Linked DNA regions of Schizosaccharomyces pombe. Changing the gene in region 1 together with any one later gene gives a genetic interaction. Each region holds a gene or a part of one and is shown in the gene's direction. Other genes may lie near its edges. The genes, in order: lem2, les1, vps4 and suc22.

Region 1 (8,370 bases):
TACCTTGCTTAAACAAGATAACGCATATTTACGAACTTACGATCCGCTTAAACCAACAAGTGTAAAACCAAACATATCACTCGCGCATTGAGCTGAACAAAACAATGACTTATCTAAATCAACAAAAAAATTATAAAAAATCTACACACGCCGAAAATTTGTTTTCAATGAATTCTATATTAACTAAAAAAATGCAGGTAATATAAGTCCATCTTCAGCAAAAAAAAAAAAAATAAAAATAAAAATAAAAAAAAAACGGAAAAGAAGTAAAGGAAGTGGATTAAAAGGAATGTGTAAACAGGTATCGTCAACACACAGAAAAACCGTGCCTTCTAATACTGTTGCACATATCAGGTGGATAAATACACAAACGCGACACATCAGTGACGGAAATATGTGTTTATATTAGAAAAACTAAATCACCACTTAATGCAACATTATTTGTAAACAATGAAGGAAAGAGATAAATTTAAAGTTTTAAAAAGAAATGATTCCAAAACTATTTACAAATAAGAGCAATAAATGTTGCCGTAATTCAGTCTTTACGTAAAAACGATTTGCGAGTGAAAGATATTATAATCAACGATAAGTTGACTATCTTGACTAGCAATGAAAGCTCAAAAACCGAGGGCTTGAAAATTGCAAACATTCAAAAAAAAAAAAGCATAAAGCACATTGCATGTACTCCTTGAGCGTAGAAGATAGGTTACAACATTCGCCAAAAAAGGTGACCACATAAATATCACTTATATTAGCAAACATCATGTATATCATGGACGAAAGTTTAAAAGGTTGGCAACCAAAGCCAAGTTCATGAGAGGAAAAGAAGATTATAACTATAATCCTCGACACAGGAAAATAAGATGTACTGTCATCGCAAAGCAATAGGCAACACGTCAGTAATAATTAGGAAAATTAAAAGAAAAAAACACAAGAGAAAAAAATGTACGAGACCGGTGAAACAAGTTTCAAACAAATCTCGATAAAAGCACAACGAGATTATTAATAGCATAATAAAAACTAGCCAGAATAAAATTAATGCAATATGCAGATCATAACACCCAACGCTCATAAAAAAGGTAACAAATGCCCATTCTAAGCATACAAATCGAAAAGTAAACGAGGCACATTTTCGATAAATAGTCATTGACGAACATTTCCATATTATAAATGAATTGCTCGCTCAATTAACTAACAAGGAATAAGATGAAGTTAAGGAAATCTAGTCAATAAAAATCAAGATTTCAAATCCAAGAAATCCATTAAAAACGTTGGCATTTCTTTTAACTATAAGCCGTTAGAAAAGGAATTCAGTAGCTTTTGTATGAAATCCTCTAAAAACCAAAAGCGAAGGAAACAAAATTAACCCATATAGAGAGCTAAATTCTATAATCCAAAAAAACAGAAAGACAGAGGTACATAGGGTGATAGTAAGAAAGTCATAATACTAGCAAAAATACTAGACTATGATAAATTCTCTTGGCCAATGTTCAAATAAATAGTGCTACAACGAACACGTGTAGATAAACGCGGAGACGAAAGAAGGTGAAACAAAAAAGTGGAATAGTTAGAACAGAACACGAGGCTTAAAAAGGTGATATGTCCTTAGACATAAATAAGCATCCAATGAAACTATGCACTTCCTTGACGCAGCATACGGAACAAGCGCTGTTCACGATCGCGATGAAACAATAAGTCTAGGGCAGAAGTAGAATGACAATGAATGCCGTTATTAGGGGAATTCAAAGTAGGGGTAATGTTACCAGTGGGATGGCCGGCAGCATTGAAGTGATTAAAAGAAGGAGTGGAAGCTGAATAGTTAGTATGAGGAGAATTGTGTCCACTGTAAAATCCATTCGTCTGTTGAATACTCTGCAATGAGGGATCGTTACGAGACATCGGACAAAAATTATGACCCATGGCAACTTCGGATGGGGTTGAAGGAACAGAGGAAGATTGATGAAACTGGAAAGGCATGTTTGAGTTCACACTACCAGTAGGAGGTTGCCATTCAGCCTTTTCGGAAACGGGAGAGTGTAAGAACGTAGGGATGGGAAGATTAGAAGCGGCCGGAGAATGAGTAAATGTAGGACCGGCGTAAAGAATGGAATTAGTATCGGAAGAGGAATTCGAAGAAAAAGATCGATCAGCACCGGAAGAATTGGAAACGTAAGAAGATACAGACTTCAAATGAGAATCAACTTCTCCGACGGCAACCTTATCAATTCCTAAGCCAGCAGGAGCCGAAGCAACACCAGAAGGAAGGTGGGAATTAGAATTGCCACCTGAGATACGAGAGCCAGCATACGAACTGTGACCAGATTTAGAGCGTCGATTCCCGCGTACTTTATCGCCATTTCGCTTACCATTGCTTTCACCAATGTTAGAAGTAGCAAAAGTACTCTTGGGTTTCACAAAGTTAGGTATCTGGAGATTACCATCTCGTTGGGGCATAATCGACATTCCATCTAAACTGAACTCGACATCGCTGGAAGCAACCATTGCTCCGCCCGGTTTAGAATTAATTTTCTTCTTATTACGTTGAAATCTACGTCCAATGTCTTTTTGCATTTTTTACTATAGTCAAAATTCGAGTAATCCCTAATGATCATGGATTCTGTATTCTTAGTGATTGATGTTGGTTAAGGATAACTTCGGGGGCAACACTCTTACCCAATATACGTTATTTGGGCTGAGGTGACACAAAGCAATGAGCTGCGCTATGCCTCCTTATAGAGCTTTCTTCCCTTAACCATTATTTGCCACCCACTTTAACTGGCAAAAAGAAAGAAGGAAAACAAAGATTCGGCACAAAGATAGAGAAATAAGAAATTGCTTTACCTTCGTTTAGTGAAGTCTTTTATTAAATTTGAAAAGGTGTGTTTGAACAGTGGAATTCAAGCAATTTCCTAAGTATATTATAGCTCATTGCTGTAATATTATAAATTTGTATGGGATTGCAATTACGTTCACGAATCAGCAACTTATGCCAGGTTTCCTTTTTAATGTAGATAAGGATTCATGTAATTAACTAGCTTATATCAGCTTTATACCATTTTTGATCAGTTTGAATTATTCACCATGGACAATTGGGAGGACCCTAACTTCGAATTGCGAAATCTTCGTGTCATAGACTTGAAAAAGATCCTTCATGAATCGGGAGTGTCATTCCCTGTGAATGCCAGAAAAATAGAGTATATTAGGATGGTGGATAGAATACGGAAAAACAAATTAAGCTCTGGTCCACAACATTTATTGTCTCATCTTCAAAAAGAGGAAAACTCTAACACCTCAAAAGCGTCTAGCTCCGAGGATGAAATAGCTCCTAAATACCTTTATCCCTCCTCTCCTTCCAAAAGCACGAAAAAGCCACACAACGAAACAGAACCGCTTCTGTCTCCACAATTCATTGACAAACCTAGCAACATTGAAACCCCGGTTAAAATAGAGTCTCCGCACGTCTCTCAAAATAATACCTTTCAGTCCTATTCTGAATTGAGCCCTAATGTGGAAACATCGCTGACTATGAAAACTCCGCCAGCCCACGCGTCTACACCAAAATTTCGCTCGCATAAATCTCATAGGGTAGCTGTTCCTATGTCATTTATGGATAGCTCTGCTTTACATACTTCGCCAGCATTTTCGGAGAGGTTAAAGCTGCTTTCATCTTCAAACAATTTTTCTCCACAATTGAGGTCTCCCAAAATATCACATCGTCTACAAACTTCAGCCACTTCTAGTCCTCTTCAACATAAACGACCCTTTACTAATGTTCCTGAGCGAGTCTCTCGAGATATCGAGTTTGCTCCTCTTGACAGTGCAAGGCCCTCTGAATCTTCATCGCCTTATTCTGAAGTAGACTCTGCTGAGGAAGATGACGAGCTTTTTCAAAATTACGTTTTGCAGCAGACTCGAAAAGAAAGCAAACTTTGGTCGTTTATTAAAAAAGTATTTCACGACATTAAGTACGCCAATTATCGTCTTCTTCACAATTTGCGCGCCTTTCCTGGAATCAGCGCGATATCTTCTTCTTATTTAGTGCATATTTTTATGATTTTATTAGGAGTGGTGGCAGCAATTTTTCTGGCTTTATTACGGGAGAAAATGTTTACAGCAGGATTCTGTGATTCGGGTGCCAGTGGAAGTTCTGCTTCAATTCTTGGAATAAGTTTTCCATCATTGTGTAGAACTTGCCCTCCGAATGCAATATGTCCCTCTCCAAATTACGTTGAATGCAAGCCCGGATATGTCCTCTACGAACCATGGTATTCAAGTTTAGGATTTTGGCCCTCCAAGTATTGCGTTAGTGATACTTCTAGAGAAGAAAGTGTTAATATTTTTCGTGAAGAATGTTTAAGTGTATTAAGATCCTGGAATGCAATTTTGCATTGTAGCAATAACTCGTCAGATTTGCTGGAACGAAATATGTCGTACAATGCGCACCCTTATGTCGCCGATAATCTTAATATATCATCTGATCATATCTCCTTCCCATCAAAACCATTTGCGTTAGGATTATTACATGATACGCTTCTTGAAAGAAAATCTCCAACCCTTGGCCTTGAAATGTTTGAGGACTTATTTAAAGCTTCTTTGGCAGTACTTTCTGAAACGAATGAAGTTGTCATGGATTCAAAATTAATTTGCTACGATAGCTGGGCAGGTATTCCTTTGCGGTGTCGTTTAAAACAGCAACTGATAAAATTTGTTTGGAGGAACAAAGTTTTTTTATTTGGAATCCTTGCGTTGTCAGGAGTTATTTTTAAGCTCATCAATTTTTTTCGTACTCGCAGTATCGTAGCAAAGTATCTACCATCGGCTTCTCGATTCTGTGTAGAATCTTTGAAGAGACAGAAAGCAAATTATCAAATGTCTCGATCTCAAGAACCCGTTATACCACTAATCGAAATGCATGATATACTCTTTCATGGAAATGGCCCATTGGAACAAATTCATATGACGAAAGCAACTGCTCGAACTCTTTGGGAAGCAATAGTCGAACGTGTTGAACAAGTTGGCAGTGTAAGAACTCGTGAATCAGAAGTAGACGGCGAATGGACCCGTGTATGGGAGTGGGTCGGCACAAATACTTTGGATTTCCAAACCGATCGTTCATTTATTAATACAACTTCCCCTTTACGTGAATAATGATTCTCGACTGTATTTCTAGCTTTGTATTTATGACATTTTTCATAGCTAATACAAAAGTAAGTTAATAATATATTTATCTGAATGCTTATACATATTAAAAATGAAACATAAAATTGGTATAATGAGGACTTGTTTGCAAGGTTGATGAAATTTAACTGTATTTCTTATATTAATGTGATTCTTAGTTATACCAAATAAATTATTTTAAAATAAAAACCAAAACCAGTACCATTTTTGATTGAATATGGGCATGTCTAGAGTAAGAAATTAGCGGAGAAAAAATAGGACATGTCACATAGAAAGGGTATTTAAAAAAAAATAAAGGAATTCAAAAGGGAGATTCACCCAACATTACGGTTGAAGATTCGTAGTCTGTGTCTTCTTCTTCCTCGTCATCATCCAAACCTGGAATTTGTTGCCATTCGTTATAAAATGGTTGAACAATTATAGAAGACTTCGTAAGCCGGTAAGGATCAAAGGGAAAATAGGCATCCATAGTGTCGAACCCTTCTCTAAAAATTCCTTTTCTGTTTTGCTCAATAATGGAATAGACGTACATAAAATTGAGATGATTTGCAACCTTTGCAAATTGAAGTACAATATTGGGGGAACAGTATCTCAATGGATTAAGCCGAGAAAGAACGGACCGATGAAGTATCTCTAAGCCCGGTATCCATTCGTTAGGTCTTGGCTCCATGGATTCAGACTCATCAGAGACACAAAGTTCACGCCAACGAAAGCAAAATATGTAAAAAATACTTTGATTAATTGCGTAAAAAACCGAGTGTTTAGATAGTAAATCATCGGACAGCTCGTTTTCACATTGATCTAAGTAAGCTTCAACCCAACGAGTCATCATATTAACGATGATCTGAATTGTATTTTTTTCTAAAGCTTTGGCTCTAGCAACGTAAGACCCAATATACATTGCACCACTTAATCTTAAAGTATAAGGTTGTGATGGGTCAAGACAAACTTCCGTAAGCACTCCAAGGAAAATATCAGTAAACTCGGGATCCAACTGAGAAGCCCAAAATATCAAAAATTGAGTATATCGACAACGGAACGTTTTAAGGACCGTGTTCACAAATGATTTAATCAAACTATTATAAACCAAGTAACGATCTCTACTAGTAGATTTTAAATTGGAATCTAAATAAGAAAATAAAGTATACAATAGCTGATCCAGTTGCTGCATCAATTGACGAGTGTCTGTTAATGAGGGAGGAGTCAATATTGTGCTAGATGTCATTTCACTTGAAATAGCAGTATGCCGTTCATATAACGTTGAAGCTGTAATAACTTCAGAATCGGCATTGCTAGTTCCATCATCATCTGTTACCACTTCATCCTCCTCCTCATCATCATCATCAACCTCTACTTGTATTTCCACATCAATTTGGATAATTTTATCAATTATTGCATGCAATACAGGACCTTTAATTGATGGTACATATTCACATATACTTAAAACGTTCGAAATATAAGTCATCTGTGCTAAAAGGCTCTCGTCCTTGTACGGAAACTCCTCAAGTATGCTACTATACAAGAAGGAATGCGCACGGGGAACAAGTTCCAACACATATTTTAAAGCCATATGAGCATGTTCATAATGGATTGCTAAACTATCAGGCCGATACAACATATGCTGAATCAGCATAGTCATAACTAGCGGCAAGTAATTAGATTGTGCAGATATGAGATTTCCTAAAAATCGAGTATAGCATCTCACAAAGGACTCATCTCTGCTCACCCAAACAGAATCTAGTACGCTCATAACTAAAGAAGAATTAGAGCTATCCAATCTGGAAACATTGCACGTCAAAGCCGACAATAAGTTTTGAAGTTGCAGAGAGGAAGGTGCATCTTTAGTATCACTTTTTGCAGCAAACTGTCTTCTAAGATCTTCATAACCGGCAAAATTTCCTTCTGCTTTGTCGTCCAAAGCTTTATTGACGAAAGCACGTAACATTTGTTGCATTAATCGTCCATCATTTTTGGAAACTGAAGAGGCAAAACTTTTGGAACCTACAGTACGATCGGGAACATTTGTAGAAGATGCCATTGTCCCGTTGTTAACACATTTATTAATATATTGAGGATTCGTAGAGGAAATGATGGAAGGCATTGTAAAGACGAGATAAACACTTGCACTAATCACAGATAAAGGAATGGATGCAAACAAAAAAATAATAAGAATAACACTAGCGGATAAATTCACGTATGGTTATTCTAAACTTTGTAATAGTTAGTTTCAAAGTTAAACCAAAACTTAAGAGTAAAGTAAATGTGGAAATAAACTGTTTCAAGTCAAGTTGACCCAATTGCTTAAAAAACCAAACATTGCTATATCTCTCTTATTAATAAAACATTTCCTTACAATTTCCAAAAACTAAGCCGTTAATTTGCTTCGAAAAGCTAAATTTTTAGAAATTTACAGGACTTCCCACGAATGAATTTTACACCCCAAAAACTTTTCGGTGTCTCAAATGAGTCAGATAAAATAATCAAAATAAATTTGTAAGATAAAACAAATTTAAATTATAAGAGTGATCATTAATTCATTCAACGTAAAAGCAAACCATGTGTGGCGGTTGGCAGAAACTATGCTAACAGTTTGTAAAGAAAATTTGAGTATATACTGAAATGCAGCGCATTGCGCTCTTTGCTAAACAATGCAATATAGATACCGATTTCTAATGTATGCTAAGTTAAAAACTATGTAGATACCAAATTAAGTGTAATATTAAACAAAGAAAAGTAGGGATCTTCCAAATAAAACCGGATCGAAAATCAATTAAACAGAATAAATAAAGCGTGATAATTGTTTTCTTCAAATACCAGAGTTCCTTCGATTACTAGTAGAACGTCTGCGGCGCTCTCTCAAAGATGCATTTAAATCTTTGTATGCCTGTTTGTACATTAAATACATTTTTTTCGATAATTCGCCAATATCCTTGTTACTTCTTCCTGAAATATAATAGTAGTTTTCATCCTGGTATGTAAAAGCGACACGACGATATGGACCAGAAACGTATTTATCCTTAGGGATTATAGTGGCAGCATAGGGATAAGTAGAGTTATCCGGTGTTGGGTTTAAAAAGGAATTTGAGCGCTCCATCCATGCAGGAATAGTGGTAGTCTTCATGTTGATGTTAGGCTCTGCCAAATAAATTGCAGCCGCACCCTGGCTAATGGCACCTAACACTTTGATCTTTC
Region 2 (7,480 bases), 1.2 Mb from region 1:
CTACTCTCAGTCTCAAAATGAAATACACGGTATATATAACGTGATTGCTAAATAGGAAGAAAATCAACAGCACCAGTTAGTGAAAGTTGACCAAGGGCTTGTCAATTTTGAGGCAACCCTTTCAATTGAAAGTTTAAAATTTAATTGAAAATCGTACTTTGATGAGTTTGAAAAAGGAGTCACACAATAGTACAACCAACTTTACCGTGGTTTGTTTCATGATAATAGTTTAATTTGCACAGCAACTGTTGGAATCATGAATTGAATAGCACCTTTAAAAGAAGAAAATTTTGTTTGACATTTGAATATGCTTTTAAACTTTTTGTGCCGCTTTATGGCTACTTTCCATTATGTCGTAAAGTGTTTTTGCCGAGTCATTCAGAGCATCTGTATAATGTTGAGTTAAAACAAGCCATTCGGCTACAAAAGAAAGCATCTGTAATTCCATCTGTTTTCTATGATAACCCAATTGGAATTGGAAAAACCATTCTTGAGAAGAATCGCAAATTTGAAACTCCTTCGCTACCTTTAACGTTGTTTCAAACGCCTCGCACAATTTGCTGTAAACCATCATACAGAATTTGAGCATTTGTTCAATTTGCTTTGCTAGTGACATAAATACCATCTTTACTGTGTTCGAGGTTGACACAGACGTTTTTTTCATAAGTGATTGATTTTTGTACAACCTTCTTTTTGCGCGCAATAATAGTCTACTACGTTCACTGATAAATACCATCTCTTGAGTTACATAATTATACATTTCTTCTGCGTAGCTTTTTGCATTTTTTGAAGATACGCTAATTTTCGTCAAATTAACTGTTACGTCCCCAAAGCTGGGATTATCATCACTCAAGCTTTTCATATAAGTCTTCCATTCCATTGGAGAATCAATTAGAAAACTGGACACCTGATTCTCCATTTTCTGTATTGTGAGGTTAAAATGTGAAGGGATCAATACACGTTTTCTCGTTTAGGTGCGCTGGTAACAACAAAAAAGTAACAAACAAAAGGAAAGTCAGCAAAACACATAATAAACCAACATGTAAAAAAGTGTTAGTGCAATTGCTTATGCCCTCAAATTTGTAATTGAGTGTTTATAAAGTTCATTTCCTTATGTGAATATTCGTATTATCAGTTATGACTCGTTGCTCTGCTTGCGACTTAAGTTTGCTACCATGCGTTTTTCTTACAACAATTCAGAGATTATTTTCATGATGATTGCTACCGGGTTGCATGAATTAACAACTTAGTTCAATTGTTTTGCTTTTACGATCAGTTTACCCTCTCTCATATTGCGGCGATAATCTGATATTTCAGAGAATTTTAGTTTTTCAAATTGCGAAAAAAAAAATTTTTCAACCAACTTGTATTTCATTGCTAGTGGTTTATTTCATTGATTGGTGAATGTGGTTTAAAGGGAAACTGAACGTTAATAGATCATTAAAAAAATTTCTGTAAGACCCCCTTTTCTTTATTTTTCCAAGGATTTTTAAAGTATTTGGACGCTTGAATGACTTTCTATTATATTAGAATTTTAAGACTCCAAGAAAAGCTCGAAGAATCCTTTAAATACGCTTTACGAGTGGTTTTTACGATAACTTCTGATCTGGGCGAAGTTTCATATCCGCAAGATGCAACCGTAAGGGTTGAAGCATTGGATAGACAACAATCTCACAGTCGTATCACAATTTCTAAGCAATGTGTTTCATGGATAGGGAATGGTCACGCGGCTGAAACGACTTTGTATTTTCCTGCTAGTCACCAGCAAATTCAATTGACGCTGCATTTAGAAAATCAGAATTCAATCGTTGATTCTATACACATAAATGCCGATACTGTATTACCAGTTTGGAGTGAAGCTTTTTCACCGAAATCTACTTTACCTAATATGGTATGGCGGTATATCCAAGGCCCAGAAAAAAAGTCACCAAACGATGGTCTCTGGTTTCTCGAACAGATGGGTAACAGTATTGCTAAGCACTTGTGGGATGCCGGCGTAGTTTTCTCAAAAAAGATTCTTTCTGATGATTGGCATTATAGCTTTTCCAATAGAAAAGACATCAATGTTTTAGAACTAGGCTCCGGATGTGGAATTGTTGGTATAAGTATTGCTAGCAAATATCCACGTGCTCTTGTGTCAATGACCGATACAGAAGATGCGATTGAATTTATGGAAAAAAATGTTGAAAAGAATAAGTCTGCAATGAGCAACAACATAACTTCTGATATTTTAGTATGGGGACATGACATTCCTCGAAAATTTCGGCGTCATTGGGATTATATTGTTATGTCAGATGTCATGTACAATGAATCTAGCTTTTCTGATTTGGAGGCAAGTCTTCAGGAATTGATGGATAAGAACACAAAGTTATATATTGCGTACAAAAAAAGACATGACAATGAAAAAACTTTTATGAGCAATATATTGGGATGGTTGGATCTTGTTTACGAAGAACGTGGTCCAATCACTATTTACATTTTACAGAAAAAATAAATTTACTTTGCATCATTTTCATTTTTCTCTTAGGATGCGTTGCTGAATCTGTCAACTTGCGAATCTCGTAACTTTTTTGTAGCAGCATGTTTATATTGAGATGTCTTTTCGGGTTCTTATACACAACGGTCTATAAAATTTGTAGCATCGCATAAAACCAATTTTGCATCTAAACTATCAGCGAACTTGGGAACCCATGTAAACTCTGCAAAGTACATTTTCTGTAAAATTGAATTTCGGCTTCCAGCTTTTTTGAATGGTGTTATGACGACTGGCGCGAATTTAATGATTTAGCATATTCTTTGATAAAAAAACAACTCAACATTATATAAAGCAGTTTCCTTTATTTATTCTGCTTTATTTACCCTGTTCTCTGTATGCCTTGAAACTGGCTCGGCTTACGTCATATAGCAGCGCATACCAAGTGTAATACCCATCAAGCATCACGCACCATCCATTCACCCAAACACATAGAAAAATACAATGCAGCCAAGGTTTCTTCTACACGGAGCGCTTTTGGCATTAGGAATACAGCTTTGTCTGTCAATTGGTAAGTGTTGAGTTGCTTTTCTACAGAAACAGCGGCTGACCCGGCATTGTCTAGGCAAGATTACAGGCCACATATCGTCTATTGAAGCGACTGCAGCTGATATACATGATGCGCCTAGTACAACTACGAAGTATGTTCAGCGAACCGTTTACGCCGGTAGAGAAAAGGGGAAAATAGGAGGACCAGCCGATTCTTGGCCTCAACGAAAGCTTGATGACTTTCTCCAAAATCATGGGGTAAAGTCACTGGACGTTCCTCCTATCGAGACTCCTTCACAGTTTTGGAGGAAGCCATTACAGTATGTATCAAAGGTAACCGACAAATGTAAATCTTTCTATGAGAAGGAGAAGAATCATGCTTCTCATAACGCACAAAAATTGGACGTTTGGATTTTCAATTCATGGACCAACTCCGAGCTTTCTCGATGGCTTATTAAGAATAAGTACGAAGTTCCAGAGCCTGGAACCCGAGAGCAGTTGTTGGAAACAGTTTTCCAAGCATCAATGGGCGATGCCATTTCCACCAATGATGAGTTGGAATCCTGGTCAAATAATCTACTCCTTTCTATGTTGGATCAGAAAAACATTACAGTACCAATTGGTGCATCACATGACGACCTAATCGTCTTGGCTAGACGTTATTACGATATTGAGGAAAGAAAATCGCAAGACAAAGTGACAAATATTACAGATAGCCAGCCTGCACCATATATGAAAGAAATTATTCACTTATGGTCAGACGGTAGACTTATTGATTTTTTGCGAGAGCGAAACATTCCTATTTCTGTTCTTTCACCTCGGGAAACTCTTTTGAAAGAAGCATACGCTAACCGCTTCACACCGCGTGTAATGATTGCCTCCAACGTACTAGATGGATGGTCGTCTGAGGACTTATTAGATTGGATTTGGAAGTACAATAAACGTGGTTCCATATTTTCCCATGTTGCTTACAACTCGCGTCATGAACTTATTCATGCTGCTAAATTATTTTATATGGATGTTGCTTCTGAATGGAGCTCTTCTGACATGGCATCGCTAAACGATTCTTTATACTCACATCCTTCTGTCTCCAAACAGTCTACCTGGACCGAAGAAGAACTCAAAGAGGAATTGGAGTCATTTGGCGAACTTGTCCCCGTTCCATTTTCATCTACCAAAGCTTTTGAACGATTACTTCCCCACCTGTATTACTATTTACGAGGTCCTGCCTTTTTGAACAGAATACATTATTGGCAAACATTCCTGGGTAACTCGCTTAAAAGGGCTTTTGTACTTTCGCAGTAAATACCATTTGTGTCGGTAATGTACCATTGAAAATTGACCACTCGAAGTTGGAGCCATGCCTTGTTCATTAACTGTATATTTCTAGTTTATTTTTTTTTGTTGCCATTTATTATAACAGATACTTAACTCAGATTTGCTTTTTTCTCATTTAGTACTAGTTTATTAAAAATAATAAAATGGGTAGTTTTACGGAACAGTTATAATAATCTCTACAAAGTTACTTAGTATGTAAGTTTTTTTTGCAGAATATTAATGAGGTTGAAGATTTCTCATGAAACAAAATCGAATATGATGAGACAAAAAATGTTTTAATATAAACCCTGATCAAAGTTTTTCGTCTTCTGTTGTTACATTGGGGTCGATAAGTTCGCCGTTCTTTACCTCTTCATCACGTTTTGTAGCTTCAATTTCCGAACGCAATTGCTTATATTCTGGGCTATCATTCCCCACTATAGTTAGCCATTTTTATAAATGTTTGATTCAATTTACCTATTTTTATCCCAAAGTGGTTTTGTAGAATAAAACTGAAAGATTAGTATTTTTATTATTTTGAGGGATTGAATTCTCAGCGCTATATTCAAGCTTGGTTTTTTAATTTTTGAATTATACTTACAGCAGATGCAACACCTAATGTGCAAGCAAACAATAAACCCATGGGACCGCCACGACTCCTTCCGCTCATCATGGTGCACTGTAGTCGGAGAGTCCGAATCATAAACTGGGAAATAGAAAGCCATATTGGAAATTATATAATAGCGACTACAATCATCATAGGATTTACTGAGGAAATAACAAAACATGTACACTCATTTGTGATTTAAACAGTTAATAATTCTTATTTACTTATAAGTTTTGCTAGTCAAAGATATGTAATTTTTTATGTACAACAAAAACCCCACATAAAATGGTCAACTTTAAGAAAAAAAATAACCAAAAAAGTTCACTTCGACGTCCAAAATTTAAAATATAAGTACATATGTATAAGATTTTAGCAACGCATACCATGAAAAAGAAAGGAATATTAAAAAAATGCGAACGCCGTTCAATTTTTTAGTATGCAAAAACCATAATTAGTATTTTTGACGGACCCAATTGAGGAGAGAAGTTGCAGATGTAACTGTAGATTTAGAGCGAATCGAGTCTTCGGCCTGCTGGAACTGCATTGTTTTAACAGGGTCAATAAGCCTAAATATTTGCTTAAGACGACTTCTCATAAGCGTCTCAGTCTCTGTTAACGGCGATGACAAGTTCTTTTTGTGTAAAAGTTGATGAATTAAATAATGCAGCCATAAAACGTTTGTAATGGGAAAAAACTGCGCCCATCTTCCTTTTGTCACTCTAGACATTAACCTATATATATCAAATTGGTAGTCATCTACACCGTTAAACAGATCGGGGTCGTTAAATTCATTGTAACTAATTATACCCTGAGAATACGATGCTCGGGCTAATGTAAAATCAATCAGCGTAACTTGAAGTATGTTGTCAAAATCATCAGCCTTATCTTGTGAGCCGGGAAAATCGACACTTTCAATGTCGTCAAGCGATATTTCATTTAAAAGAAACGAAACTTCCTCTTCACTCCGATCAGCTTTCCGAATAAGAATGTTTCCCCAATGTAAATCTCTATGCTCAAACTCATAACGAGTTTCAACTAAAGAAAGAATTTTTAATGTTTCATAAAAAACCGACCAGCACTCTCGCCAACTACGGAGCTCAAAATGTTCCAGATCTGTTCCTGAATGATCAAGACATAAAACACAATAAAGTTGCGTTGATGAATAGCTATCTGGTCGATCGTTCTCAGAACCATTTTGCATAAGATACCGATCCCATTCTTCTAATAAAAGTGAAGGATAAGTACCTTTAACGACAACTACTTGATGAAGGTTTGCAAAACCGTCGACTTTTATCCATTGGCTAATCTGTACTTCATTTAGGACATCAGCATATTGAGCTTGTCCGTCTTCTCCAAACGGGATAACTTTCCAAACAACGGGAACGTCATCAGCATTGCTGGCTTGGTATACTTCACTATAACTTGCTTCGCCAATTTTTTGGATCTCAAAAGTCTGAGACTTAACAAATTGACTGAATGGAAGAGCGTCTTCTTGCGCTACTATTTGGAGGAGCCGATGAAGTGGATCTAATTTGGAATTATTTGCGGGTTTTCCGGATAAAGCAACAGAAGATGACAAATTTACAACCTCTTTTTTACTGACTACCGACTTTGATGCATTATCCCGAGGAGAAGCCGGTATTATGACAGTAGGTACCAGGTTTTGATTTCGTTTCGCCAATAACTCATTTTCTTTGTATGAACCTTTTTTTAAGAGAATGTTCCAAGATAATAATGAATCTTTTTTCGGTTTAGAGTGAATATGCTCAAGGTCACTTCTTTCTTGGTTATTAAAATTTTCAATGTTCCGAGGTTTCAAAGCACAAGGCCGTTCATCTAAAGAAGCCCAAATTTCAATATCTTTATTAATATATCTACGGTTCTTTCCATAAGTTTTAACTTTTGAACGACTTTCCATATCTTTTCCTACATTTGTAAATATTGAGGTAGTAAGGTACGGAGGTGAGATGGAGAAGGCATGATGTCCGGGCTTAGTGATATGTTTAAAAAAGCATTCTGGACAAAATAAAAAATGCACAAAAAAACTTAATTACATTTTTCTTTAATTGCTTCTGTTAATTTAGCCAGCTTATCCTCCAATTGGGCAATTTTCCAGTCTCGGATTGCGAGTTCTTCCTCATATCGTTTCTCAAAACCTTCGAAACGTTTATTGAGATCGGCCAGATTGACTGCTGAAATATCTTTCTTATCTTTTGAAACATAAAAGGGTTCTTTCTCTTCAACTTTCTTACTTTCGGCAAGAGGAGCAGCTTTGGGTGCTTCGTCAGAAACTTCCAATTTCTTTTCCTCTGATGGTTCTTTCTTTACATCTTCTGAAAAGGTAACAGGGCTACTAGCTGGTTTCGGAAAAGATTTTTCAACAGGTGTTTTCTCACGCTTGGGCTGGGTTACAGTTTCTTCTTTCTGATGATTATCCTCATCACGTTTCTTCGATGGTTCTTCTACTTTTGATGCCGAAGGAGTAGTTGGTTTCACCTCCGGCTCTTTGGAAGGCTTTTGTTCTTCCGCCGATT
Region 3 (7,675 bases), 1.4 Mb from region 1:
TCATTCGTTAAACAACACATGTTCAGAACAAAACAGTGGTACAAAAGATTACCTTAATAGCTTACAGTTTCTGCCATCAAATTTCCGACCGAAAACCCACAAAAAGAAAAAAAGTGTTTCGAGTTATCTATCTTCTACAATCCAGAAGAATGCAAACGAAAACATTCCTCATGTGCAATGTCGAAATGATTCACAATCTACTGTTACTACCAGAAATCCAACTCCCTTTAAAATTGAAGTGGGGATTTATCCAAGTAAGCCGAATAATTTAAATAAAGAACCTCCTGCATCAACTGTTCATTCAGATAATCTTGGGGATGCAGTTGAACACGAATGGGTGGAGCTATATGACCCTTTATTCCCAACCAGCTATTCAGTTTTTAAAGAATCTGATTATGCAAATTTGTGTGAAACAAATTGGAGTCATTATGTTAATCAAGTTCCCTCATTGTCAATTGAGGCAAAACTTTCCAACATTGTAAATGCCTCAAAATCCGGAATTGGACCTCCTCCTAGCCTATTAAGTCATGCAACTTTAGCACGGCCGTCTGAGTCAATGGTTTTATCAAACAATATTGCTGCGGAAGATCTAGATTTTTTTAAGAAATCACCCCCAGTTCCTGCTATATCTAAAAAGGAAAATGTAGCGTTAAAAATGCTTCAACGGTGTGGATGGAAAGAAGGTCAAGGTCTTGGTCAGCACAATCAAGGCATTATTAATCCACTCCATGTAGAAATCTCGGGTTTCGTTACAGAAACTAAGCACTCTAAAATTAATGATAAATGAGGAGAATCTTAATGTTAATTTTTTTATCAACGTGTAATTGTATATTTTATTAGTTAAATTAACGGGGCTTAATGAAAATGAAATTTCTTAATCAACTTTTAAAGATAAAATTTGAACATGTATGCGGATTTAATACTATATGATCACATATGATAATCCTATTTTTTTGACGATTTAAACTTGATTTTATGGATTTCAGGATTGAAAGCATTGGAGGAAGAATGCTGCAATTTAATTTTGTTAAGCCGATTTTCGTTTTCATACCTGTTTTCATATTGACTATAACGTTCCTCTGCTCGACAAATAATATTGTATAGCTCACGAGCTATTTCTGTTTCATTGCGTACTGTTTGTAATAAAAATTTATACTTTTTCTCAGTTTCTTGTGAGAATGAAAGAATTTTTGAAATTTCAGAACACTCTGCCTGTACTTTGAAAGAATTTAGGTAGCTTTTCAGTTTTTCAACATTCTGGATTATAATTTCTTGCCTTTCCCTTTGTCGTCTAAAATTCCACTTGGCATCAACAGCTTCTCTAAAGCATTTTAAAAGTGAATGAATGTCGGTGTGATTTGAGTACATGGAGATGTTAAAATAATCATTACTCCCTAATTTTTTTAACATATTTCTCTCGTCTTTAAGCAAATCCCACTGTGCCAAGTAAGAGTTTGCTTGCAATAATAATTGATCTGTATTGGGATTTTTTTTCTCAGCCAAGTTTGACAAAATTCTTTCAGACTGGGCAGATAACTCAAAGATGTCCTTGCCAAAGGCACTGATATCTTTTTGAATGGTATCCTTTGCGTTTTGAGAATTTTCAACATTGACTTTTAAAAGTGATACTTCCTCATGTAACTTTATAACATCGCTGTAAAATCCTTTTTCTTTCATGTTTTGGGAAGACTTTACCGAATTTATTATTTCGTCTAACGCTTGACAACAATGTCGATATGTGCCATTAACTTTATCAATTAAACAATCAAGAGAAGATGCTTCGGACCTTAAAAACTCAAGCCCCCCTAAATTTTTTATTTCAGTAAAATTTTCCATTACTTTATTTGAAGTTTCAGTTATATACCTATTGTCATTGACGGACTTTATCTCTTCCATAAGAGCAAAAAGCTTTTCTGTACCTTCTTTAGTTAAGCAATCAATACTCTTCACAGCAGCATCCAAAATATTTTTTTCATGTTCTTCAATTAGATCCATAAACTCTTTGTCCAAACATGTCGAAAAATATGGATAAGCAGCCGTTTTATCCGTCAAAACATCTGGTGTTATCGATTGAACCATAGTAACTGTATCCAATAAAGGAAATGAGCCTACTGGTATTTCGGGTTGTAAATGAATAAAATCATTGTCCCTCTCATTTCTTTTTAATTCAAACTGTAAAGAGCTTTCAAGTTTTTCAAGTTTTTCATAAACTTTCACATTAAATCCAAAATCGAACCTGGTTTTCAAAGCTTCCTTGCAATGTAACAGAGAAAGCCTCAAGTATGAAATGTTTTCTCCATATTTGTTTAGGGAGTAACTTGTTCGCGAAATAATCTGATAAGTAATAGTCTGGTAAAAAAGTTTTTGAATGTAAGTCCAATGAACGAATATACTCGGTGCCCCAGTTGCATTTTTAAATAATTTATATGCATCTTCGTATAAGAGGAAGACTTTTGCCAGAATCTTTACAATGATAGATTCACTGGTCGTGTCATTTGAGTTAGCCTTGCTAAAAATACAAGTTTGAGCCTCAGCAAGGCAATAAATCTCCCAAGCTTTCAGTAAGTTTTCATTGAAGTCTAAAGATTTAGTGTATATATAGAAATCATTTATATATCGAAAACAGCCAGCAGAAAGCTGAAAATATTGACATGCCTGTACTAAATTAGGAGGTTTTTCATTACAAAGGGAAATTGCCGTCGTATGATAAGTGCATGCTAATCGATATATCAAGCAAGCATGCTCAAATATTAGATTTTCAAAAGATTCTCTCTCGTTTGAAGAACTAGACAATGTCCACACAAATGGTGCTACGCATTCTGATAAATGCTTTTGTTCTAAAACACACAACAACTGGTGGTAAGTTTGAAAGGAGCTCAACGAATTTATTGAAGGATGCGACAAACATAATTGACTTCGCAAAGCTTTAAAGGTCTTCAAATCATTTTCATATGTGAATGATTTGAAGCAAGACAATCTTTTCAATTCATTAAACAGAGGGTCACAACTCCAATGAAAAGTGTTTTTTGTTGGTATATTTAAAAATTCCATTGCTAATAATGTTTGAATAAGTGTCTGGTTATTTTACAAACCAAGAATCTTGTCACGAAGTGCTAGAGCAATTGCCAAACACGCGTCTTTAAAAAGGAATAACCTTAGTATAATATCGTTCACAAAGCGATTGTTGCAGGTTATCACCCAAAAGAATACTTTATTAGGACAACTGGTATATCAAATGTTGACGATAGCGAACAAAAAAAAATACCCCGTAAAAATGCAGTCAAACTTATTCCTTTAGAATTGTTAGTGATGAAATGTAATTTATCGTGCGATAGAGAAAAATATTGAGGATGGTTATTAGTAGCTAAATGTAATGTACCTCTAGGTACTTAATGCCATCATTAAGCCATTGTTGCTACTGATTGTACTACTCACACCAAAACCCATTATCCAGAGCAGACCCGTTCAGTAACTTAGCTTTTTAATTTCATTGGATTTTCTTTTAAATCTACCTTTTTCATCATTAATTTGATATTTGGCTTCTGTGATGTCCAATCCAGATTGTTTAAGTGTAAGACTGTTGCATGGAGTAACTCGTCCGAATTTGAACCTTTGTCTAACATTCTAACTACTGTAGAAAGCAATTTCATTAGTAAAAACTGCTATTGATAATGACAATGCCGAGCAATATCCTGATGCTTACAAATATTATCAAAGTGCACTAGATTATTTTATGATGGCCCTAAAATGTAAGTTACTCAATAGTTTGAATTAGGGTGAGGATATATTGTCGCAATGATTCATAAGGAAATTTATATTTGGATCTACATTTTCAAGTTATTGTTTGCTAATATTTCAGATGAAAAAAATGAAAAATCTAAAGAAATAATTCGTTCAAAAGTTATCGAATATCTAGATAGAGCGGAGAAGCTCAAGGTTTATTTACAGGAGAAAAACAATCAAATTTCTTCAAAAAGTAGAGTCTCTAATGGAAATGTAGAGGGGAGCAATTCTCCAACCGCTAATGAAGCGTTAGACTCTGATGCAAAAAAGTTAAGAAGTGCATTGACTAGTGCAATTTTAGTAGAAAAACCAAACGTTCGTTGGGATGATATAGCGGGACTAGAAAACGCAAAAGAAGCTTTGAAAGAGACAGTTTTGCTACCTATTAAGCTGCCGCAATTATTTTCACACGGTAGAAAGCCTTGGTCAGGAATATTGCTCTATGGTCCTCCTGGTACTGGTAAATCGTACCTTGCAAAAGCAGTCGCTACTGAAGCTGGTTCTACTTTCTTTTCGATTAGCTCCTCAGATTTAGTTAGTAAATGGATGGGTGAAAGCGAAAGGTTTGTTATTCTACGTTAAAACTATTTACTCTTTAATATTTACATGACTAACATTATAGGCTTGTTCGTCAACTTTTTGAAATGGCGCGTGAACAAAAACCATCTATCATTTTCATTGATGAAATCGATTCACTGTGCGGAAGCAGAAGCGAAGGTGAGAGTGAATCTTCTCGAAGGATTAAGACAGAATTTTTGGTACAAATGAATGGAGTTGGAAAGGATGAAAGTGGAGTTCTGGTTCTGGGTGCCACGAATATTCCTTGGACTCTTGATTCTGCTATTCGCCGACGTTTCGAAAAGCGTATTTACATTCCCCTGCCTAATGCTCATGCCCGCGCTCGGATGTTCGAGCTTAATGTCGGTAAAATACCTTCGGAACTGACCTCACAAGATTTCAAAGAACTTGCTAAAATGACCGATGGCTACTCGGGTTCAGATATTTCTATTGTTGTTCGTGATGCAATAATGGAGCCTGTAAGACGAATTCACACAGCTACCCATTTCAAAGAGGTATATGATAACAAGTCTAATAGGACCCTTGTAACTCCTTGTTCTCCTGGTGATCCTGATGCATTTGAATCTAGTTGGCTAGAGGTGAATCCTGAAGACATTATGGAACCAAAACTTACTGTTCGAGATTTCTACAGTGCAGTTCGTAAAGTCAAGCCTACGCTTAATGCTGGTGATATAGAAAAGCACACACAATTTACAAAGGACTTTGGAGCAGAGGGATAGTAATATGATAAAGGAGCTATTTTCGCTTAGTTTAATGATACCATTATTGTAAAGAAGTATAATATCATGACTACACTCACAAATGTTGAATCACTTTAGTAAATTATGGAACTAGTAGAATATTGAAGGGAATGTATATTGCTTCGACAATATCTATTAGGGCAATCGGAAATTAGTCTGGGTATGTTTACTCATGCCAGAGAAATATTTTCCATAATCTTAACTGATTTTGAATCAGGATTATAAAAGACAGTATTCGACAAAATTGATATAGAAATCGCATGCTATCAAAAAGTGCAAAGTAGCAACGTACCAAAAACCTTTTCATTCTCGGAGGTAATCGGTATACGTCGCAGGCACGTATTATACGAACAACAAAAGAAAAGCATGAAAAAATGTTGAAACAAAACCGCCTAGCGTGACTTTTATAATAAGTCAACAAATAATGCTAATTACGAGGAATATTCCTAAAAGCAAGTTACATTGTGTAATATGCGTGAAGTAGGGAATAATCAATCTGCTGCAGACACAGCCTCCTTATGATCATCCGCAACATCTTTGTTAGAATTTACGATATCGGTTTCACTTGAAGAATTTTCCTCCTCGGCTTTATGAGGGAAAAAGTGTTCTTTCCATCTGAACCCAGCTGCAAGGGATCCGTTGGTGGAATCATCTTCCTTAGAATTTTCATTCGCATCTTTGTCATATCCATCAGATCCATTTAACTTTACTTGATGAAAATTAGGTGGGACAATAACTTTCTTATTGTTATCGCCACTACGCCATCCTGGGCCATGATTTTCGGCATACTCAGGAGGAGCGCAGGGTCCGTCGTTAGCGGCAACTCTATCTGCAATCTTCTTATACCATGCTGATTTATCGTTTTCTTGCAATAAGGCAACTATACAAACAGTCATGTTGTCACAACCAAGGCCGGTAGTTTCGGTGTCACTGGCTATGCAGTTATCCATTAAATTTTCAGCAATCTTCTCAAGAGAGGTTCCAGCAACTATGCCACGTCTAACAAACTCGATCACTTGCTGCGAAGTCTTGCAATCCCAAATACCATCACAAGCGAGTACGACGAATTCATCATCGTCAGTAATCTCATGTACAACAACATCCGGTAAGGCAGTAACTATTTGTTTTTCTGGTTCTAAATTACTGTTTTTGAACTCAAAATCACCGATAGCTCTTGACAAAGCCAAATTTCCATTTACACGGCCAAAGTCTACAAAGCCACCAGCCGCACAAATACGGGCTTTTTCGGCTTCATTTGAAGGCTTATGGTCTGCTGATAGAGGTTTTGCAATTCCCTTACTGCCAAGGACAGTTCTTGAGTCACCGGCATTAGCCTACACAATTAGTAAGACTAAACAACTTCCAAGACTTACACAATAAAGTTTATTTCCAACACGAAGAACAACAGTGGCCGTGCAACCTGATGGATCCGTATGAAATTGATCATCTGTCAAAATAGTTAGCAAAATGCAATGTAGTGAAATGACAAATTTTTTTTCTGAAACCAAACTAAATGTAACAACTTTTCAACATCAAGAGGTAAACATTTCTATTATCTTGGTAACAATTTTTCTAAGCATTAACTAGACAAAAGAACAAAAAATCTATAAAAATTTCAAACACAAAATTCATCAATTTTTTGGCGACTTTAAAATGGTTATGATATCAATGAAAACAACTTTATCATTGTTAACAACAAACTTACCATCCAAAATAGCTTTATCAGCATTTAAAAATGAAGATTTCAAAGCATTAACAAAATCGCCTTTCTGAAAATCAGGATTCTTTTCAAGAATCTGAGGAAGATTGCTTCCACACCATTTCGCGACTTTGTCTCCACCGTGGCCGTCATAAACCGCAAAAAAGTCGACCGGGTCTTTTACTGCAGAGCACTCCATTGAAAGTATAGCAGAATGAGCATCTTCCATTGAGATACGCCATCCTTGCATGCTTGAAAGTCCATAAAGGACGAACTCATTGCTCCCGTTCACCGAGTGCTTCTCGGTGACTGGCTCTGATAATGTCTGACCCATTGACAGCTCTTGCTAATAGATGACACAAATTTTCACGTTTTCTTTTTGTGTCGCTTCAAAACGGGTTATGTAGTAGTGATAGGTAAATCGCTAGTAGGTGGTGGAGCTTGTCGGAGGGAGTGTTGTGGCACCCTCTACAACTACATCACCACCGTGGAGACGAACGATAGTTGTTAAAAGACTATGGAAGGTAACAAGATTAGCAGTAGTCAAGGCATATATGTAAACAACAGAATAAATGGTATCAAGGACTAAATACTTATAAATTTCAAATGTTCATTAAAAAACATGTGTAAACATAGCATATCCTATAAATTGATTTTTCAATGGTTTGCATTTTACTATGACTACAATAGAGACAAAAACAACGCTGAGTAGAATGCCCCAACAAATTCAGCAACTTGATTCAGAAAAAATTTCTATTAGGCAAAAATGATATTATTTTGATTCAATTAAAAATTCCATTGGATTTAATAAATGACCAAATAAATTCTACTTATTAGAAAGAAAATTGAAATAGAACTATTTGATAGGAGTAAT
Region 4 (7,737 bases), on another chromosome or scaffold:
TTTGAATACAAGTAAATAAACTATCATAGATTAAAAGAACGACAGATGTATTAGTCAGAATTAAAGAATATTCAACAGAAAAGTAGTTTGACGTCTCAGAATAATTTCTATAGGTTGTAAATTAGCTTAAAGCAATTAATTGGCAGAAAAATTAAATGATAGGAGTTATCTATTAGTAAATTGTTAATTCTCCATATGTAAATCCGGATCGAGGAACATTATTGTTTGACCATTGTTTGTAGTTAAAAGAACACCAAGGTCTGTATATTCCTGTATTGTATTTATTAAATGATCTTCAGTAAAACCCTTAGCAAGTACGCGTTCACGAATAGCACGTAGTGTAAGTGAGCGTTCATTGCCTTCAACATCTGGTATGCTATTAAGCATGTCTCGAATAATTTTATATATTTTCGAGGTAATAGTAGTATCGTGAGAACTAGGATCCAAATCATCGTATAGTGATGACTTTGAAACAGACATTAATCTCAAAGCTTCATCAACATCGCCAATCTCCACTCTATTACTGAAACGCAAACGAGCTAATGCTTGTCCCATTCGCAAAATAGCGAGAAGTGTACGTGGAGTAGTGTGAGCGAATTGACGCTCATTGGCTTCATCACGCTTTTGGTTTTGTCGAAGTTGAACATAAGCACCAGTAACATAGTCGCATACATCCTTTGGTACGACTGGGCGATATTGTCTAGCAGAAGAAATATAATGCCTAATCATGTTTGGATCTAATGGTTCAAAGTCCATTTTAGGTTGTTCGTTATGCATGTGAACATATGTTACGTGTTGTGCCAAATGCTCGTCTGTTTCACGAGAAGGAGTATCTAAAATTAAAAATAAAATATCAAACCGGGAAAGCAGTGCAGCTGGAAGATTTATATTGTGGATTGGTGCCACTTTCGGATTATATCGTCCATATAAGGGGTTCGCAGCGGCCAAAATACTTGTTCGAGCATTTAAAGTCGTAGTGATTCCTGCCTTTGAAATTGAAATAGTTTGCTGTTCCATTACTTCATGAATTGCTGTACGGTCACTTTCATCCATCTTATCAAATTCGTCAATGCAGCAAATACCGTTGTCAGCAAGTACTAAGGCACCTCCCTCTAAAACCATTTCATCCGTCACTGGATCACGCATTACAGCAGCAGTTAAACCAACACCTGAAGATCCACGACCTGTGGTGTATACTCCTCTCGGGGCAACCTTCGAAATATACTTTAATAATTGAGATTTTGCGACACCAGGATCACCAGTTAAACAAATATTTATGTCACCACGAATTCTCATTCCATCCCCTAACTCTTTAGTAACACCTCCGACAAGCAACAGAAGTAAAGCTTTTTTAACATCTTCATGTCCATATATCTCGGGAGCAATGGACTTGGCCAGTTTTTCGTACACATTGCCTCCTTGATTTAATTCAGCGATAGCAGCCTCCGATTGAGGAGTTTTTTCAATATTTGTGTAATTTTTAATGATTTGTGAAACATAATGGCATTCTAAGTAAGTATCGGTTAAGAGCCCGGCGCGCATTGCTCGAAAACCAGTATACGGAGTCGGCAAAAATATACCAGAAATATCAACGATATCGCCAGGATTTACAGAGCGAGTGATAGCACCATATAAGTGGACGGTTAATGATCTAGGGATATGGCCAATAGGTACTTGGTTCGTTAATTCTTGTATTTTTACTTCCTGAAAAGGAAGAAATTTACTGGCTCTTGTGCTCATGAAAAGCTGACCTTTTGCATCATTCTTTTTACATTCATCCGAAGGACATTCAGACATTGGAAGGAATGTCTTCTGACGGATTTCTTGAAACACTTCATACCCACATCGATCACATGTATAAGCATTTACAGTTAAGCTAGGCTTAACATCACTTGTACGAGTAACTATACCACGGACAGTCAAAAGAGATCCCAAGTTTTCGCCTCTTAAATCACGAACGCTGAATGGTTTTTTGTTGCGAGTTACTGGTCGAAAGTATAAGTCATAACCTCGGGTTAATTCAGGAGGAAATCCTTTATGCTCAGGGTCTATATTTTCATTCCTTTGAACACGTTGCTGCATAATTACATCAAGTACTTCGTTGCGATAATTAATTTCCACAGTAGGAGGAGGCATCAACGCATCTGCGCACTGCGAAAAAAGTTCAACAAACCGTTTAGCATTAGATTCAATATTATGCAAAAGCTGAGTATCACTTGGATCGAACTCGTACAAATCATTCAAATCAACATTAATAACATTTGACTCTCGATTGGAGATTTTTTGTAGTATATCCATATACTTTGATTTTAAAAAAGGCTCATCACCTGCATCCGACATCGAAATATCCTGATTTTGTTGTCCATCTTGAACCTGTTCCTGCTTGAAGTGGGATAGAAAATCCGTAATTTTATGTTGACATTCTTCATACTCTGGGATTTTTAAATCTATGGTGGGAAGTGCCATGCTTTTCAAACCAAAAAAGTATCCCAAAACTTTTCTGCTGAATTAGCAAAAAATATAAAGGTTCAAAAAGAAAGCAAGGGTATTAAGTAAGGGTAAGATACCAAGAAAGGTTCTTCTTTAGGTTGTTTTAGTTAGTTGGTAGTATGAATCAACGCGAACTCGTAAGGTAACAAAAATGTAAATATTGTAACTTAGGGCATATACAAATTGTCATTGACTCTAAAGAAATTGCAGTGTATAATTTTTTTGATTCTCTACATATTTCCTTTTTAATTTATTACTCTCGCAGCAAAAGTAAACATTCAGTTTGATTTTAAAAGCCACTATGTAGTACTGTTAGAAATTTTTTTTGGAGAGTATTCACTATGTATAAATAAACAGTTTATTTGTTTTAAATTAATAATAATCATTTTGCCAGACAATAAATTGGTCATTTTATTTTCATAAATGTATGTCTAATTGTTTTCATTGCTTCAATCGATTGTTATTTTAGCTATCCATAATTTTTCCTATTTTTCTTCTACACGTTTTGTATTTCTAAACATGAGAGTTATTTAGACTACTGCCTAAAATTTATTTCACTTTTATTTTTAAAAATTTTTTTGAAAACTTATGAAGTAAGTTAGCAGGGAAATTCTCAAAAGAAATGCGATATCAACAATATAAAAACTTCGAGTAGGGAACTTTTTATTTTTTGTTCGGTTATTTCAAACATCAGTGAAGAATGAATATAGAAAATTCTTTATTGTTTTATACCACATTGTAAACTGTACCTAAAAGCACAACACGCAATAGAAACGTGCTATTGGAATGCTTATTTATTTTCTGTTTACAATAGACGAATATAAGTATTTCTTTTTTTTTTTACGAAAGGATCAAGGTATTAAAATTATTCACAGTATGTGGCTAGGTCTCTGTCGCGCTTATCTTTTTTTAATTAAGCAATGTCTTTATGTACGGTCGCGTCGCATTAGAAGTTTCGTGATTTGTAATATTTGAGCAGTTATAAAGCGCTCTACATCTCGGATGAAAAGGAGATTGTGAAGAGATATTTATTTCTAACATCATATCGTACTACTAGGCTGATATCATTGCGTTTCATCTACAACATAAATTGAGGTACCCTGACGCGTCTTAAGTATTACACTGAAAACTACTTTATTAAATTATAACAAAAAGTGAGAAATTTAATAATTTATTTATTACATAAAGTAATAAATTCATTTCTATTTTTTCAATTATTTGAGCCTAAATAATTGAATTTATTCGACTCCACGCTTAGCATCGAATTCTTCGATTTAAGCTATCACATTTTTCTATTAACTAGCTACAATTTCCTGCTTTAAGAAACCGTTATTATAACACACCAGAAGGGAAAGGAAGTAAGCCCTTGCTTTTCCCATTTAATTTGAGATTGTCTTCGAATTTATTTCATTTTTTTTACTCGTTGCGTTTGTCTCCAAATATTAATTAGTACATTGTTTTTTTTCAACGTTATTCATCTCCATCAGCCTTTGACTTAGTTTAACTGCAATTTTCCACTCTGTAAAATAAGGCAGCATTTTGTCTATTTTGCCTTCACTCTTATTCATTGTGTTATCATACCCAAAGTGCGACAAATTAACATCCACAAAAAAAACGGTGGTGTTGAATATACTACAATACTGTGCACTACATTGGATAACCTACCTTTGAAAGTTTTGCCATTAACCACAACACATCTTGGGAAGCCACATCGCAAGAGATAATCGCGGTGGAAGAAAACTTTTGTACTTATTCTATATACAGATAAATCCGGTCAGTTTGGACGAAATCTCATTATTAATCTTACAAAATGGGCCTTGAGCATCTCGAAGAATTCAGTTATCCTAAGGAACATGGTGAAGAAGTCGAGTATGATAGCGAACAAGGTGTTCGTAAAATTTATGTTAAATCTATTAAAGAAACCTTTAACTTTGATAATGTAAGTGAAGAAGAGAAACAGGAAGGAGGCGACTACTACTTGGGCAAAAAGGAAGATGAGCTTGATGAAGTTGTGCTTCGCCCTAATCCTCACCGCTTTGTTTTGTTTCCAATTAAGTATCACGAAATTTGGCAATTCTACAAGAAGGCTGAAGCATCTTTTTGGACTGCTGAGGAAATTGATCTTTCGAAAGACTTGGTTGATTGGGATAACAAGTTAAATGCTGATGAACGTTACTTTATTTCCACTGTACTCGCCTATTTCGCTGCGTCAGATGGTATTGTTAATGAGAATCTTCTCGAGCGTTTCAGCTCTGAAGTTCAGATCCCTGAAGCTCGTTGTGTTTATGGTTTCCAAATTATGATTGAAAATATTCACTCTGAGACCTACTCACTTTTGCTTGATACATACATTCGTGAACCTAAGGAAAAACAGCGTCATTTCGATGCTATTTTAACAATGGGTTCTATTAAGGCCAAAGCCAAGTGGGCTCTTCGTTGGATTAATGATGAAGATTCCACCTATGCAATTCGTTTGGTTGCCTTTGCTGCTGTAGAAGGTATCTTCTTTTCTGGATCGTTTGCCTCTATTTTTTGGCTTAAGAAACGTGGACTTATGCCTGGTCTTACTTTTTCCAATGAATTGATTTGTCGTGATGAGGGTCTTCACACCGACTTTGCCTGTTTGATGTTTAGTCATTTGAAGCACAGACCAGGCCGCAAGGTTGTTGAAGCCATTATTGTTGAAGCTGTTGATATTGAGAAAGAATACTTCACGGACGCTCTTCCCGTTAGTCTGCTTGGTATGAATAAGGATTTGATGTGTCAGTATATTGAATTTGTTGCTGATCGTTTGTTGGTTGCTTTGGGCAATGACAAGTACTATAACGTAACCAATCCTTTCGATTTCATGGAGAATATCTCTTTAGCAGGAAAAACAAATTTCTTTGAAAAGAAAGTTTCTGACTACCAAATTGCTGGCGTTATGTCGGGTACCAAGCGCGCTGAGAAGGATGATCATACATTTACAATCGATGAGGACTTTTAGATGACTAGTTATTTTTGGTTTTTAGATAAGTTAAAGCAAAAAAAAAATATTATTGATTACTGATAACCTATTTAGCAATAATAAATTAATATGTTTAATTAGATTTTCGTTACTCTATACTTTACAAATCTAAATGGCTACTTCAGTGAATGTAATGACGAAGTTCTAATTTCTGAAGTATTTCTATTCAAGTTCTTTTCTCTTTTTCATTAATTTACTACGTCTAAGAAAAGTTATTTTCCAGTCATAGACTAAAAGACCATTTACTTATTATCCTTATTGTCAATTACCTAAACCTACAAGATTACATGTATTATACAATACTTTGTAATTCGATTTATGGTTGACTTATCACATCTCGTATTTTTTTAATGAATTACTGCAAATTTACTCTCAAAAATAATCAATACTTTCTTTTTTTTTAACGATTATTTTTCTTTAATTCGTATTAAATGTATGAAGCCAATATGCTAAGATTAAGTCAAAGGATCTCAAATGCTGTGAATCACTTCTCAACCGCCATGATGTCGGGGGCTTCTGCAAGTTTGACCGAGGGTAGTGCAATTATACCATTTTCAAATCCGAATGAAGTCTTTTATAACCCCGTACAACAATTTAATAGAGATTTAAGCGTTACAGCTATTCGTGCTTGGTCGGAAACTAGATCCAAAAAAATTGTTGCAAAATCTCATCACCGGCATCAGCTTCTCGATCAAAACTCCGAACTTAGCCAAGAAAATCTTACTAAATGTGATACAACTCATGATTTTGAAAAAAACTGTTCGGAAAAGACAGATTCTACTTCAGCTGATAATATTGCTGGATTTACCATTTTAGAAGCACTTTCCGCTACTGGATTGCGTTCCATTCGGTATGCTAAGGAGTTGCCAAATGTCAAAAGGATACTTGCAAATGATTTATTAGAAAATGCTGTGAAAACCATCGAGAAGAATGTTAATTACAATAATGTGAGCGATATAGTAATTCCTAATAAAGGAGACGCTAATGCTGTTATGCATATGAACAAATTTCATTACGATGTGATTGACCTTGATCCTTATGGATCTGCTGCCCCGTTTCTGGATGCTGCTGTACAATCCGTTTCAAAGGACGGTCTTCTATGCATCACATGTACTGATTCAGCTGTTCTAGCCGGTAATGCATATCCAGAGAAATGCTTTTCTAATTATGGTGGGTCCTCTTTGCGCTCTAATTTTTGTCATGAGCAGGCTGTTCGTCATTTGCTTTATGCTATTGCAGCTTCTGCTGCAAAATATGGTCGCGCTATCAAGCCGCTACTTTCCCTAAGTATTGATTTTTACTTTCGCGTATTTGTTCAAATTAAAGCAAAGCCTGTTCTCGTAAAAAATTTACAAAGTCAATCGCTATTGATATACCATTGTTCAGGCTGCGGTAGCTTTGCCGAGCAACCACTTGGAAAAACTTCTCCGGGAAGACTACCTGGAACCACCAAATTCTCTAATGCTTCGGGGCCTCCTGTATCTGCTAACTGTGAACATTGTGGATATGTGCATCATGTTGGAGGCCCTTTATGGGGTGGACCCCTACATGATGCAGAATTTCTCAAAAAAATGCGCGCCATTGCAGAAGATTTAGACCCTGAAGTCTATGGCACTAAACGAAGAATCTTAGGTATGCTCGCTTTGGCTGATGAAGAACTACCAGATGTTCCATTTTATTTTGTTTTATCCCAAATTTGTAGCGTCTTGCGCTCCCAATCTCCTCCTCAAAATATATTTGTTTCAGCTTTGTTAAACGCTGGATATCGGGTTTCTGGTTCTCATGCCAAGAGTAATGCAATTAAAACAAATGCTCCCTGGTCCTTCGTTTGGGATGTTTTGCGCTCTTGGATTAAAGATCATCCAGTGAAGCTTGAAAATATTAGTAAAACATCTGCTGGAGCAGCGATTTTGGAAAAAACTCCCACAGCTGAGGTTGATTTTACATTCAGGCCCGATTCCGAGTTTGCATCCAAAAAAGAAGGTTATACTCGATATCAAATGAACCCAACTGAAAATTGGGGCCCAAAAAGTAAACCTGGTAAAAGAACTATCGCTGAAGTTGACTCAAAATCTTAGGTAAAGTGGAGCACAGTTTAAATACTCCTTGTATTTTAGGTTTTTGGATAGTACATACAATTTCATTCTTTATGTTATTTCGGAAGGTTTATGCAAATTATAAACAGGCTAGTACAAAAAAGATTTAGTTTGTGTATTCCATACTAAATACTTGTTTAAACT

What was found.
Region 2: mutations in lem2 (region 1) and les1 impair growth when combined (synthetic growth defect), as found in Schizosaccharomyces pombe (one study listed by BioGRID).
Region 3: of lem2 (region 1) and vps4, changing one suppresses a phenotype caused by changing the other (phenotypic suppression), as found in Schizosaccharomyces pombe (one study listed by BioGRID).
Region 4: of lem2 (region 1) and suc22, extra expression of one rescues a mutant of the other (dosage rescue), as found in Schizosaccharomyces pombe (one study listed by BioGRID).

Annotation. Positions count from the first base shown.
Region 1 is NC_003424.3:2,231,517-2,239,886, forward strand, and holds lem2 (LEM domain nuclear inner membrane protein Heh1/Lem2), read left to right. Parts: upstream 1-2,761; 5' UTR 2,762-3,081; coding exon 3,082-5,148; 3' UTR 5,149-5,257; downstream 5,258-8,370. Other genes in the region: protein Edc1, read right to left, coding at 1,633-2,571; RNA polymerase I general transcription inititation factor subunit Rrn3, read right to left, coding at 5,480-7,279; SPOM_SPAC18G6.12C (uncharacterized protein), read right to left, coding at 7,985-8,370. UniProt on the Schizosaccharomyces pombe protein: Nucleus inner membrane protein involved in meiosis. Plays a role in regulating nuclear envelope (NE) morphology and nuclear integrity, particularly during spindle pole body (SPB) extrusion or insertion through the NE, and perhaps during karyokinesis.
Region 2 is NC_003424.3:1,033,680-1,041,159, reverse strand, and holds les1 (nuclear bridge Ish domain protein Les1), read left to right. Parts: upstream 1-2,950; 5' UTR 2,951-2,977; coding exon 2,978-3,044; intron 3,045-3,098; coding exon 3,099-4,327; 3' UTR 4,328-4,521; downstream 4,522-7,480. Other genes in the region: karyogamy protein Tht2, read right to left, coding at 314-919; efm6 (methyltransferase), read left to right, coding at 1,511-2,494; SPOM_SPAC23C4.04C (uncharacterized protein), read right to left, coding at 4,652-4,763, 4,817-5,127; haspin-like kinase Hrk1, read right to left, coding at 5,398-6,864; coronin Crn1, read right to left, coding at 6,993-7,480. UniProt on the Schizosaccharomyces pombe protein: Inner nuclear envelope protein involved in nuclear fission, which is achieved via local disassembly of nuclear pores within the narrow bridge that links segregating daughter nuclei.
Region 3 is NC_003424.3:814,570-822,244, forward strand, and holds vps4 (AAA family ATPase Vps4), read left to right. Parts: upstream 1-3,433; 5' UTR 3,434-3,547; coding exon 3,548-3,571; intron 3,572-3,637; coding exon 3,638-3,749; intron 3,750-3,792; exon of another isoform or gene 3,793-3,859; coding exon 3,860-4,346; exon of another isoform or gene 4,347-4,405; coding exon 4,406-5,081; 3' UTR 5,082-5,170; downstream 5,171-7,675. Other genes in the region: rbm17 (G-patch type RNA-binding protein), read left to right, coding at 1-787; alx1 (BRO1 domain-containing protein), read right to left, coding at 946-3,051; protein phosphatase PP2C catalytic subunit Ptc3, read right to left, coding at 5,594-6,436, 6,476-6,549, 6,808-7,135. UniProt on the Schizosaccharomyces pombe protein: Involved in the transport of biosynthetic membrane proteins from the prevacuolar/endosomal compartment to the vacuole. Involved in multivesicular body (MVB) protein sorting.
Region 4 is NC_003423.3:3,717,455-3,725,191, forward strand, and holds suc22 (ribonucleotide reductase small subunit Suc22), read left to right. Parts: upstream 1-4,168; 5' UTR 4,169-4,300; coding exon 4,301-5,476; 3' UTR 5,477-5,618; downstream 5,619-7,737. Other genes in the region: MCM complex subunit Mcm7, read right to left, coding at 184-2,466; trm1 (mitochondrial tRNA (guanine-N2-)-methyltransferase Trm1.1), read left to right, coding at 5,929-7,575. UniProt on the Schizosaccharomyces pombe protein: Provides the precursors necessary for DNA synthesis. Catalyzes the biosynthesis of deoxyribonucleotides from the corresponding ribonucleotides.